2 linked regions of the Bombyx mori genome follow. The protein of the gene in region 1 interacts with the protein of each later gene in a biochemical or structural test. Links are inferred from orthologs where the notes say so. Each region holds a gene or a part of one and is shown in the gene's direction. Other genes may lie near its edges.

Region 1 (6,653 bases):
AAATACATTAGAAGTTGAAATAAATAATATTTGTTATACAGTTCTCTAGGAATAAAATGAACACTAGGATGTTTATTATATTCATATTAAGTACTGCAATTTTGGGAGTACTAACGTTAGGACAGAGTTTTCCTTTTTTGTATTATATGGCTTGAGCCTGTTTGGTAATTGTCTGGTAACAAGAGACCACCTACACACCAATGCCAATGACCTGACATGAGGTTGAAGTCTCAAAGATTTTGTAACAGTTGGCCCAAATTAAGAATGATCATAAATTGTAATGAGCCGGTAGTTTTTTTTCTTAGTAAATTTGTTGAAATACTCAATATACTGGAGTACACTCAAATGTTATCTACATACTACATACATCTCTTTCAGGAATCATTCAGGAAGTAGACAGTGATAGTTCTGGTGATTTTTCTGGAAGCAGCAGTGATTTTGTTCCAGATGAGAGTGAAAATGAGGAGGTAAACTGATAGTACTGAAGTTTTGTACTCCTTTTCCCACTTTAAATTGGGCCAGCTCTTATAATTCCTCTACGCCAGGATTTTTTATCCTCAGATCCTTGAGTTCTATGCCTCAATTGCATATTAATAAAAACAAAGATTGTAAATTGTTATTGTTTGACTGTTATTGTATGATGCTATTCCTTCATCATGGCCATGGGTTAAGTTTGTACATACATATATCATTAGATAATTGGTACCTGCTTACTACTTAGCACCACCCGATACAAATATACTGGGCGTCTTATTGTTTAGGATAGAATGACTGAAAAACTTTTTCTTTCTTTGAGTTTTCATGGTCATCAGACAACTGAGGTGTTATTTAACATGTGATTAAACTGTAACCATTACCATTTTAAATGATTACAACTCTCGAATGTCAAAGAAAATACTATATACTATTTTAATAAAAATATTTTCTGCAGCAATCTGATTCTTCATCATCATCATCAACATCAGTAGAAGATGAGAAACCTCAGAGGAAAGATTCAGTTAAAACACAAATCACCAGAAACAGGAACAATAAAATGAAAATTAAGGATTCAGAATACATCGTAAAACCTGACAACTATTTTATGATGAATTCTAGTAAAAAAGTTAGTATGTTTATTTCTTCATACCAATTGAATTATTGAATTATCAGCATACAATATTGTATTGATTTCATGTTGATGCTTTATTTTTATTCGAGCTCAATTTTTAATTGATTTTCATTTGAACTTACTTTGATATTGTCTAAATAAAGAAATTTATAATATTACAGATAGCCACATCAGATCACACTCTTGCTAGATTGAAAAACATGAATATTCAAGATAATTCTCCAGATACTGTACATATATCAACAGAACACAGGAAAAAAATAGCAGAGCTCAACTATAACCATCGACAGCTCTTTGACAGATGGCTGTATGAACTAAGTGAAAACTTTAGTATTATTTTATACGGCATAGGATCGAAACGAACTTTGCTCCAACAGTTTCAAGCTGAGAAGTTGAACAAGTTTCCGTGTATAATGGTAAATGGATTCTTTCCGAGTCTCACCATTAAGGATATCCTAGAAAGCATCGTCGTAGATCTACTAGGGAATACAACTGTACCGTCCAATATTGGCAGCGTTGTAAAATTGATTGACAGTCAGCTGTCAGAAAATGGCGTGGACCTATTTCTGATAGTAAACAACATCGATGGACCTATGTTAAGAAATTCTAAATCACAAGTTACTTTGGCTAGTCTATCTCAGATAAAGAATGTGCACACCATTGCAACGATCGATCATATTAATGCCCCGTTACGTAAGTACCTTACTTTTTTTTCTTAAACGCTCAATTTTAGCATGAGAAAGTACTTGATTAAAATATGCATTTAAGTTAACTTTTGCAAGTGATTATTAATCTAAAAACTTAATTTAGTTTTTGAAGTTATTTGTTTTTTTCCTACCTACGCTGATGATCTAGAGAGGCCATATCATTGTCACCGGTCTAGTAGGTGAGCTCACGGGGCTCTAACCTGACGACGTTACTAACACTAACCCTAGCAAGAGCTGTGCTTCGCAGAATCTGCTATCAGATCGGAAACGCAAACCACTGAGAAGATCCGGCGAGTGGGCCGTGTCTGTGGGCTAATATACTCGCCGAGCCCTTCGTCGCAAGCGTTGAAGTTATATAAAAAGCGCTACACCACGTAAACGATTAATTAAGCAGAATAATTCAATTTTCAGTATGGGACTATTCTAAATTGAGTAAATACAACTTTTCATGGTGGGATGTAACTTCGTTTGTTCCTTATACTGAAGAAACTTCCTTCGAGAATTCTATAATGACACACAAAAGTGGCGCCCTACAATTATCATCACTCAGGAGCGTTTATCAGTCATTAACATCGAATTCAAAAGGGATTTTCACTATCCTTATTGAACATCAATTAGCAAATCAAAAGCAAGCCCATTATCAAGGTAAGCCTTGTAAATACTATTTATGACTATGTATTATTATATAAAACAAAAATAGGCTTTCCGCTAAAGTGCCATTTCTGACGTGATGTGTCACGACATGATATAAATGGCAGTAGCAAGAAAAGGCAAGACCATTGGATAAGAACCAACAAAACAATTAAGATAAAATATGAAAATAAAAAAAATAGTATATCGTATTTGTTTTGACAATTTGACTATTTGGTGGTAGGACCACTTGTGAGTCTGCACGGTTAGGTACCACCGCCCTGCCTATTTCTGCCGTGAACCAGTTATGCGTTTCGGTTTGAAGGATGGGGCAGCCTTTGTAACTATCGCGACCGAGGACGTCTCACCTTCCGAGCGACACAGGTGCTCACGGGACACGGCTGTTTCGGTCGCTACCTGCACCTCGTCGCCCGGAGGGAGCCGACGCCGAAGTGCCACCACTGCAGTGGCTGCAACGAGGACACGGTGGAGCACACGCTCGCGTACTGCACCGCTTTCGCGGAGCAGCGCCGCGTCCTCGTTGCAAAAATAGGACCGGACTTGTCGCTTCCGACCGTCGTGGCTACGATGCTCGGCAGCGACGAGTCCTGGCAGGCGATGCTCGACTTCTGCGAGTCCACCATCTCGCGGAAGGAGGCGGCGGAACGGGAGAGGGAGAGCTCTTCTTCCCTCTCGGCGCCGTGCCGCCGCCGTCGAGCCGGGGTTCGGAGGAGGGCGTTTGTCCAGCTCCAGCCCCTATGAGGAGGCAGTCTCCTCCCGGTGATGGTCACGGGGCGACCTAAGGGGGCTGAGGCTGCGCCGCACGCTACCGTCACTCTAGCGCGCTGGCACCAGGAGGACGGGACGGCGCGTCGGCGGCTGCGGACTGCGATGCGGTCCGCATTTTCGTCGTCGCTGTCGTCGCCGAACATACTGTTGAAGAGCAACCCGGTCGGCGGTGTATCGCGTTCCGACCCGGCAGGCTGGTTCTGGCCCAGCGGGGTATCCCGGAACACCAGCGGCACCGCCCGGGCGGCCTGGTAGGGCCGCCGTACCGCGGAGACCGACGTCGTTGGTCGTCGACTATCGCCTCGACGACCCGTCGGTCGGGCGTCCTCGGGGTGGCGCCGCGTGTCTGGTTGTAGTGTTGACCGCGGGAACCCCCCTACTCTGAACGGGTTCTGACCCCGGACGGAGATCGGACGTCGGGTGTAAGAGTGCAGGGGAGTCGTTTAGTGGGTGGGCCCTAAAATCCTTGGGCCCGCGATCTGCTCTCAACACCTGCAGATCGTTGAGTCTCACATACCCCGCGCGCCCCCTAGGCGCGGGGACCTCGTAGGAGGTTCGGCCCCCGGCCCGAAAAAAAAAAAAAAAAAAAAAAGCCTTTGTAACTATATTGAGACCTTAACACACTTAACACCAGGTGGGCTGTGAGCTCGTCCACCTATCTAAGCAATAAAAAAAAAACAAGAACTGACTGAAAATACGACTATAGTTAAAAAAATTACGTGATGGAATTTGATTAAAAGCGGTTTGAATTATTCCAATAGTAATACGAGGAGTTAAACCATTTCGTTTTTTTTCAATAGCATACGTCACACTAGTACGTTAGTATACGCTGCTGCTACTACTAGTTTAATTAATGTAATGTCATTACTTATTTATGTCGTCATAAAAATCTTGATGAAACTATTTCAATAAATATTATACGCGACAATATAAAATAACCGTCACACCGGTCTTACTGAGCGTCCTACTCTTGAAACGTTTCCGTTACCTAAGCGATATGTTCTATCTGGAGAATATACAGCTTAGTGAAAGATAACCTAGTAAAATAAGGGTTATGGTCTAATGTGAACACCTGTAACTCTGAAATTTTGTTTGCAGGACTACCATTTAAGGATCTCTATTCAAAATGCCGTGAACAATTTTTGGTCAGCTCTGACTTAGCTCTCAGAGCACAGTTGACAGAATTCTTAGACCACAAACTCGTTAAAATGAAGAGAACTCTTGACGGCAGTGAAAACTTAATGATACCAATCAATAATGCATTGTTACAACAGTTTTTAGAGCAGCAAACAAGTTAACGGTTCGACTGATGTACATAACCGCATGCAAGCATGAGTTTTAATTTATTAAATATTAAAAAAAAAGTCTGTTTTTTCTTTACCTTATTTGATGTTTCGTATTTTTAACAGCCAATATTTCATCTACCTATAATTCATCTTATAGTGTGTAGTCAGTTGCTCAATGACATGAACAATGTCAGAAGCATAAGCCGATGTCTATCGTTGAAAATTATTTTCAAAGCTCTCGAGGAACTGGATTTCATTCGAGGCGATGGAAGGTAAACACAAAAATTTTACTCCACATGCTTCTGACTTTTAACAGACCAAGGGCATCTAACATTTGCTTTTGTGTTGTTGATGCCAATGGACTTCACTAATCACTGAGCTCTTGAAGTCGTCGTGGCCCAAGAGATAAAACGTGCGGTGCATTGGTGTCGAGCGATGCGATTGTTTGATTCCCACAGGCGGGTACCAATTTTTTTAATGAAATACGTACTTAACAAATGTTCACGATTGACTTCCACGGTGAAGGAATAACATCGGGTAATAAAAATCAAACCCGCAAAATTATTATTTGCGTAATTACTAGTGGTCGGACCTCTTGAGTCCGCACTTGTAGGTACCACCACCCTGCCCATTTTTGCCGTGAAGCAGCAATGCGTTTCGGTTTGAAGGGTGAGGCGGCCGTTGTAACTACCGAGACCTTGGAACTTATATTTCAAGGTGGGTGATGACATTTACGTTGTAGATGGTCTATGAGCTCCAGTAACCACTTCACACTAGGTGGCCTGTCAACTCGTCCACCAGTCTATGCAATAAAAATATTAAGCATTAACATGAAAAATTAGGGAATTAGGGAAAAATGTCAGACTGAACCATTTATGGTCAAGGTTAAATTTGGAATATAGACATTAGTTCTGATACGCAAATATAAAAGTTTATCATAAACAAAAAAAAACAAATACTATTATTAATTTTTATTTTACAATCCCAGAAATAAAGTCTTAATAGGATTATATAATATATATCAACAGACCAAGTTGTAAATTACTTAAACTTAATGACTTACATAATATAATAAAATTATTAACTAAAATTCTCTTCAACATATCTGGCACATACACCATGATGCATCAACCAAACACTTCATTGATATAAGTGCATTGCTCATTTTAGATTTAAAAATATTGTAGAAAAATACTCTCTGAACTCAAAGGTTTTATCTAATTTAATTGTTTTATGATATTCACATAACGCCCTTTCGAAATTCCAGTTAATTTTGTTAACATCAACTTTTAGGTTTTCATAGTCTTTTTTTAAGTTTTATGGTACCTCCTTGTATATATATACCTACTGAAGATGTTATTGTAATCAATGGATTTTACTCTTGGATGATAGTAAATATTTGTTATATAAGGTATTTATTTATTGCAGGCCAGTAATCTGGTGAAAGATGATTTTTAAAAGTGAGACAAAAGACCAAACATGGTTAAAAAGATGATTTTTGCAACAAATGGTATTGTATGCAATTTTTTTAACGTACTTATTATCTATATCCAAATTGACACAATGCCAGTAATTCCCATTCCATTTTTATCAATTTCTTCAGTCTAATTTGGTCGATAATGTAGGTGAAGCCCATAACTTATAATTTATTGTGTTTTAATGGTTTGAAAGGGCTTAAATACTTTCATAATTTAATTTTCTCTCAGCTTAAATCTAACTTATATAAAACAGAAATTTAGATCATATGAGAGCTAGATTATACATATTTATATCATGCACTTCAGTTTCAATGATTAGGCTAAAATTAAGCATGTCAATAGAATATTAAAAAAAGATTACATAAACAATTTAATCAAAACATCAACTTCAGACAACAAACTACAGATATTTCACACAATGAACATTAACACTAATCAATGATAGAAAATATTTCATTTTATATTGAATAAACAGAGTTTGCACTAGAATGAAAGCAAAGTGAGTCGAGCCTCAAATGGTGACGTATCACTCTCATGAATGACAACTAGCCTACTTGGATGATTGCAATGTACCGAGACTGTGATCAAATTTATTGTCCGATGCATCGGATCGCTGTACACTTACAAACTAGTACGATAACTCCACTTAAGGCAA
Region 2 (6,791 bases), on another chromosome or scaffold:
AATTCGTTTTTCTGATTTACCAATCATTGTCCAAAAGTCAGATTGCCGGCTTTGATAATAGTCGACTCATTTAAAGGTCATTCCAGACTTAAGACCACACAAACAAACAAACTTATACTATGATCCCAGGAATGGGCTGATCAAATATGGATAGCTGGTATGTTATATGCTGGTGAAGTAAAGAGATATACCAGTGAAGTCTCTCACTAAAATCTTGGCTCTCAAAAAACAAAACTCCATAAATTCTAGACTTGTTTAAACATCTAAAGCCAGACTAATAGTTTCCTACCAAATATGGCTAGGCAGGGAGAGAATGGGGAGAATGAAGATAAGTATAATGAACATAGATAGGGGCTCCTTAAATTTACGCTAGGGTCACAAATCCAGTGTCATTCTCAACCTCCTCTCTCAATAACACAATGGACCTGTGTAGTGAATCCATAAATTGTTAGTTTTATTTATTAGTCTCATATGTATCACAATAGTAAGAATGTTGTGTGTGGACTTTTATGCATGGAAAACAAACAGTCATAATACAATGCATAAAACAGGACTTACAAAATATAAAAGTTAATATTCTAGCCTACATACTTGCCTGTAAATTAAATGGAACAATGCGTTATTGGCTTGTGGATGATTCATAATTTTAATTAATCTGCACATAACATAGTCTCGACTGCAACATAAACTTTTATAATTTAATATTATTTTGTTTTACATTGTATCTTATGGCTGTTTGTTATCAATGTTTGTGGTCCCAAACAAGTTTATTTTGAAAACAAACTGTTGTAAACAATTCAGACCTGCCAATGCTATGCTTAACAACGGTGTTGTAATCTTACAACATAATGAAAATTGAAATAATACGCCACCTATCTGCTATACTTACTTTGAAATAGAAAACTGAAAATATCCTGGCTGAATAATTAATTAGTACAGGAGCTTGAAAATCGGCACACACGACAAAGCAGTGATCTGTGTCTCTAAGTTTCAAATCTTTTAGTCTAATACAATCGATCAACAAACACTTTTGTAAAACTATTTTTAAAAGACCATCGTGATAAGGCTCTCTAAACTCAAGTTCTTTGTGAATAAAATCTATACAAATGACACTTATTTTGTGTCTGTTGGATCATCTATGAATAAACATCAAGAAAGACAAAGAAAAAGATATTGTCAGTTAAATCAAAAAACTATCTCTGAACAGGTAGATACACAAATAATCTGTTCATTGCGTGCCTCAAACCATCTTCAAAATATTTTCTAAGTTTGGATCGATAGTGTTGTCCAATAGCTAAATTTCCTAATAATATAATACTATTTCACTTACTGATCTGAGTGAGACATCAATTTATATTAAGCTAAAAGAGTAACGTATCGATTCACTAAACACCGGTTTGCTGTGAAATTGCGGCATTGACTTTGAATAGTGGCCTTGAATGAATGCGGGTATGAGAATTCATGTCTGAAGGTAAACTTTGTGCATATTTTGGTGCTATGATGAAAATGTAATCATATTAATGATTCTGGCGTTAAGCTTAAATACTATAACTTACAATTTTTAAGCTTAAAGCAATATTGACTTCCTCTATTTAGGTACTTCTTTTTTTATAAAATTCAAAGCTGTGCCAAATTGCTGCTGCACTATAACATAATAATTTATAATACAAATTACATTGTGATTATTTAGGGCTCGTGTCTTGTGCGAATTTGCTAAATGAATTTAAGTGGTTGAAACCTGCTGCACTAATTAAAAACTCTCATTTCGGAAAACGCACGACGCTGCATCTATAATTCTGATATTCACATTGTTTTTCGAAAATATTTTCACTTTTTTCCATAAATGGTTGGGTGTTCAGCTACAATCCACGGTGCAATTTTTATAGTTAATAAACGAACGAATACGAAATAAAATTTTGAAAAACTTTGGTTTGTTCACTTTTTAAGTATAATTTTTTACGATCAACTTCTTAAGAAACAAATTGAATTAATTTCCAGATTGTCCCAATTTTCAATAATATGAACGGGTACACAAAAACCGTGGAATTTAAGGTCATGACGAGGACTAAAGATTTATTTTTAGAAATCGTCAAAATGCGAGAACGGGACAATACGAAGTTTTAGGCAATGTACACGAGAATTAAATCCAGGGATATGAATACAAATATTTCTTTGATCGGTTCAAGTTCACACGTTCTCCTATATTCATATGAAGAATACTTGTAACTACTATAAAGTGCTTAAATACTTAAGTTCAATAAATATTTCACGTTATAAGTTTTTAATTCTTAAGGGTGTGAACTAAAAATGTAACTATTTGTTAGAAGAAATTCGGAGCTATATCTCGATTTTCTTGTTATCATATGTTTCATTTAGTCTATTGATTAGATTTCACGAGCATGCGCTCTTTTACTTTCATGCCATAGACATTTTAAGAAGTATCATCTACTTTAAAAATTAACGTGCATACTCCTGAGTTACAAACACTTTTCTTTCATTTAAAAGAGTCACTGAGTACTTGCAACGTACAAGACTTAAAATTGACGCTATTATCTATTTTATTTAAACAGAACGAAACATGCCAATTTATTTTCAAAGTTTCTTTTCGATACATCATAAAAGCCATATTTACTTGTAAACTCAGCTTTATGCACATTTATAAACTAGGAGCAAAGTAGACAAAACGGGTGAATACGATTTAATCTCAAAATGTGTAGTTGACATACTTAGTATGGAGGGTAGAAATATCTTTACCTCCGTAATACTTAGTAGACTATGGTGAACAATCAGTAATCTCAAATATATTAAGTGTATAATCTATGGTGATTATTGAAGGACATCTCTAATTGACAGTGTCAACTGTCATGCTGTTTGATGTTTCTTGGGATGACATTTTATGCCGCGAAAATTTCTTTTTGAACTCATTTTAAATATTTATTAAATAATTTTATGCTTCGATGTATAAAGCTAAAACACTTCACAAAATAATCATAAATAACATTGTCTGAGAAAATGCGTGGATCAATGGATACAGACCCGTTGGCTATTCAAATAAAACTTGTAAGGAAGTACATAAAATTGAAATTAATAGAAGACAATGTATTGTTTCGGGGGCACGACCAGGAAAGAAATCATGTGTACGAATTATTAAGAAGAACTGTCTTACAAGGAGAATCGCATTCGGCTTTACTTATAGGGCCGAGAAGTAGTGGAAAAACCACTGTAAGTTCTTGTGCTTCAATATACAATTCGCGGATTTAATTTACAATATTTTTAAATTGTTTTATGTCCACCAGCTTAGCACAATATAGGTGATTGTGGCCGCTCTCAGCTCTTCATGTGACAGATACATATGTGATAGATAGGTATATATAATGCAGCAAGATTTAAGAGTGGTATGGTTTACTGTCAGTCTATTTGGGTAGGTATGTTGGATTCTGCCTATTTTTTATGAAGTAGCAGTGCATTCCAGCGTGGAAGCTAGGATGATTGTCAAACAATACAATTCTGAATTCTACCTGACCCATGAATGATATTTTTGTTCAGATCCCATCACTTTTATTATTTTCTTTATATTTTCTTTAATAATGTATTGCTAGTAGTACATAGCAACATACCTGCTATATCTTTATCTTTTCCAGAATTTCTGTATAGTTAAGTGGCTGTCTGGAAGAGATCTCTTGATGATGAGATGATAAGATTTGTACAAATGGATCTGCTTGTTGACTGTTTTCTATTGTTAATTGTGTTTTGGTGTGCATATAAAGTATATTCTCTCTCTCTCACTTTCTAGTTACAATTTAATATAAGGTGAAGCAAGGGCCTCTGTACAGAAAATGTTATCTGTTGTGACCTTTCAATAATGGTAAAACATTTCATTTCAGCTACTAAACTCGGTACTTCACCAGCTCTCTAGAGAGACAGATTTGGAGAATGATGCTATTATAATTCAACTGAATGGCCTTGTACATAGTGATGATAAACTGGCCCTTAAAGCTATCACAGCGCAGGTGATTGAGGCCTTTTTATGAATCTAATAAAAATGTCAAAAAGAATTCTATTAATGTTTGTTCAATTGTATTCCTGTATAGCAGGAAAGGTTTTTCTATTATATTTTGTTCTGAATAGGATAGTGAATTGTACTTAACTAAAGACCATTGTGTGTAATAGACTAGACCAGTGTTTCCCAACGTGGTGCCCATAGCCTACAAGTTGGCAATTTGATAATTAAGAAGGGCAATTGCATTAAATCAATAAAGAAAATTGTATTGAAATTATTTTATTATGCTAAAATTATGTATGGGGGGCATAAAAAATTTAAAAATGTTACAGTGGGGCATGGCACAAAAAAGGTTGGGAAACACTGGACTAGACTGTAATAATATGATAAACATGGTGGTTGACTCTTCACTAATGCATTGGATATGAGAAAAAAATCTGTAGCCAAGGTCTTGGTAGGGGGACAACACAATGGCAAAACCTTGGCCACTTTTGAAGCTTGACTACTGGTGTCTTAACCACAGTATAATTAAAGGCAGGCTTAACTAATCTGAATTAAATTGAAGCCTCACCAACTAAGATGGACTCACCTACACTATTCTTTACAGATGCAATTAGAAAATACTGTGGGTGAACGAGTTTTCGGTACCTTTGCCGAGAACCTCTCGTTTTTGTTAAGCTGCATCCAGACTGGTGTTGACAGACGATGTCGAAGCATGGTATTCATTCTAGACCAGTGTGACATGTTTTGCCACAGCGGTATCTCCCAGACATTACTGTATAACTTATTTGACGTAACTCATTCACAGACGGCTCCTATGTGTGTTATCGGTAAGTTCGCTGAGATTGTTTTTGTTGTTTTTCTCAGAATATGTTATAATATACGATTGAGACTGGCCTTTGGCATCACTGTGGTGATGGCATTAACATTGCTACAGTCCTTGCTTATCCTTTAATACATGTTGTGTAGGTTATCCATCATAGGCATTAAAATGCGACTTAATCTGCTTGTCACGTTTTAAAATTAATAATGTATCTTCACTTCATACTATCACACATCTATACTAATATATAAATCTACAGTGGTTTTTACGGATGTTCCATTATAACTACTGAACCATGCGTTCGATTGACATGAAAATTGGTATCCATGTAGAAAATACATGTACTTAATGGATAGGCTAATATTTATATGAGTGTTGGACTTACTGGTGGTAGGACCTCTTGTGAGTCCGCACGGGTAGGTACCACCACCCTGCCTATTTCTGCCGTGAAGCAGTAATGCGTTTCGGTTTGAAGGGTGGGGCAGCCGTTGTAACTATACTGAGACCTTAGAACTTATCTCAAGGTGGGTGGCGCATTTACGTTATAGACGTCTATGGGCTCCAGTAACCACTTAACACCAGGTGGCTGTGAGCTCGTCCACCCATCTAAGCAATAAATAAAAAAAATAAAAAAAACTTCCTACACCAGTTGCGGGGGCGTTAATGACGAGAATCTTTCTGGGGGTGAGAAATAATAATAATGCCTAGCTAGTCTTAAATATATTTGGTATTTGATGCCTACTTGTTTCTATGTGTCTTTCCATTACCATTAACACAGGAGAAATCCTTGCTCGAAGATGTTAAATCTTCATTTCATTAAATATCATGCTTCCTTACTGTGCACAGGTGTAACAAATCGCTTAGACATTATGGAGTTGTTTGAAAAAAGGGTCAAATCCCGTTTTTCCCATCGTCACATATTCATATTTCCTAATGAAGTCAATGATGATGACCGGTATGATATTATCTCGCCTCTGGAAGGGAGAAAGAGATTGTTTGTGGAATTGCTGAGTCTGCCCCTGGAGGGTTCTGTGTCGCCGAGGAAGAAAAGAAAATCAAGGAAGTCCATCGGTGAGCTAATATAATTGCTTACGTGATATTCTATACTAGATTATATTTCATCCCACTGCATTGAATGCGTGTCCGCACATGCCGCCTCATGCTTTGTCGCCGGAGAAGCAGTGGCCGGAAATCTAATATTTGTAAAGTAGATAATAAGTTTTGCTTACACATTGTTATTAGATACCTAGTTTTTTTTTTTCTGTATAGAAGGAAAGATGAATTAATTAATAATAATAATAATGATTAATAATGACTTTTTATTTTTTTATTGTTTATTTGGGTGGACGAGCTCAGAGCCCTCCTGGTGTTAAGTGGTTATTGGAGCCCATATACATCTACGATGTAAATGCGCCACCCACCTTGAGATATAAGTTCTAAGGTCTCAAGTTTAGTTACAACAGCTGCTCCGCCCTTCAAACCGAAACGCATTACTGCTTCACGGCAGAAATAGGCAGGGCGGTGCTACCTACTCGCGCGGACCCACAAGGAGTCCTACCACCAGTAATTACGCAAATTATAATTTTGCGGCTTTAATTTTTATTGCACGATGTTATTCCTTCACTCTTCACCGTGGAAGTCGATCGAGAACATTTGTTGAGTACGTATTTCATTAGAAAAATTGGTACCCGCCTGCGGGATTCGAACACCGGTGCATCGCTCGATACGAATGCACCGGACGTCTTATCCTTTAGGCCACGACGACTGTAAAATTAATGAACGAGCGAATGAATTTATGAATGAGACAAACAAATTTCACAGGTCTAGTCACTTTTGTTTTATAGAATACGATTTCCTTAATATTTTAAATTATTCTGTAGCAATGTAAATATCCTTAAAGGAGGTCTATATCCAGCAGTGGATGTCCAATGATTGATGTATCGATAAATAAATTAATTTAGTAACATT

Evidence for each region.
Region 2: the proteins of origin recognition complex subunit 2 (region 1) and origin recognition complex subunit 4 form a complex in vitro, tested with the Drosophila melanogaster proteins (3 studies listed by BioGRID, with this or other methods). The link is inferred for Bombyx mori from reciprocal best matches to the Drosophila melanogaster genes Orc2 and Orc4.

Annotation. Positions count from the first base shown.
Region 1 is NC_085115.1:9,006,943-9,013,595, reverse strand, and holds the end of origin recognition complex subunit 2, read left to right. Parts: intron 1-378; coding exon 379-467; intron 468-931; coding exon 932-1,102; intron 1,103-1,269; coding exon 1,270-1,801; intron 1,802-2,226; coding exon 2,227-2,460; intron 2,461-4,332; coding exon 4,333-4,532; 3' UTR 4,533-4,614; downstream 4,615-6,653. UniProt on the Drosophila melanogaster protein: Component of the origin recognition complex (ORC) that binds origins of replication. DNA-binding is ATP-dependent, however specific DNA sequences that define origins of replication have not been identified so far.
Region 2 is NC_085108.1:2,850,429-2,857,219, reverse strand, and holds the start of origin recognition complex subunit 4, read left to right. Parts: upstream 1-2,866; 5' UTR 2,867-3,012; coding exon 3,013-3,222; intron 3,223-3,884; coding exon 3,885-4,010; intron 4,011-4,607; coding exon 4,608-4,830; intron 4,831-5,669; coding exon 5,670-5,894; intron 5,895-6,791.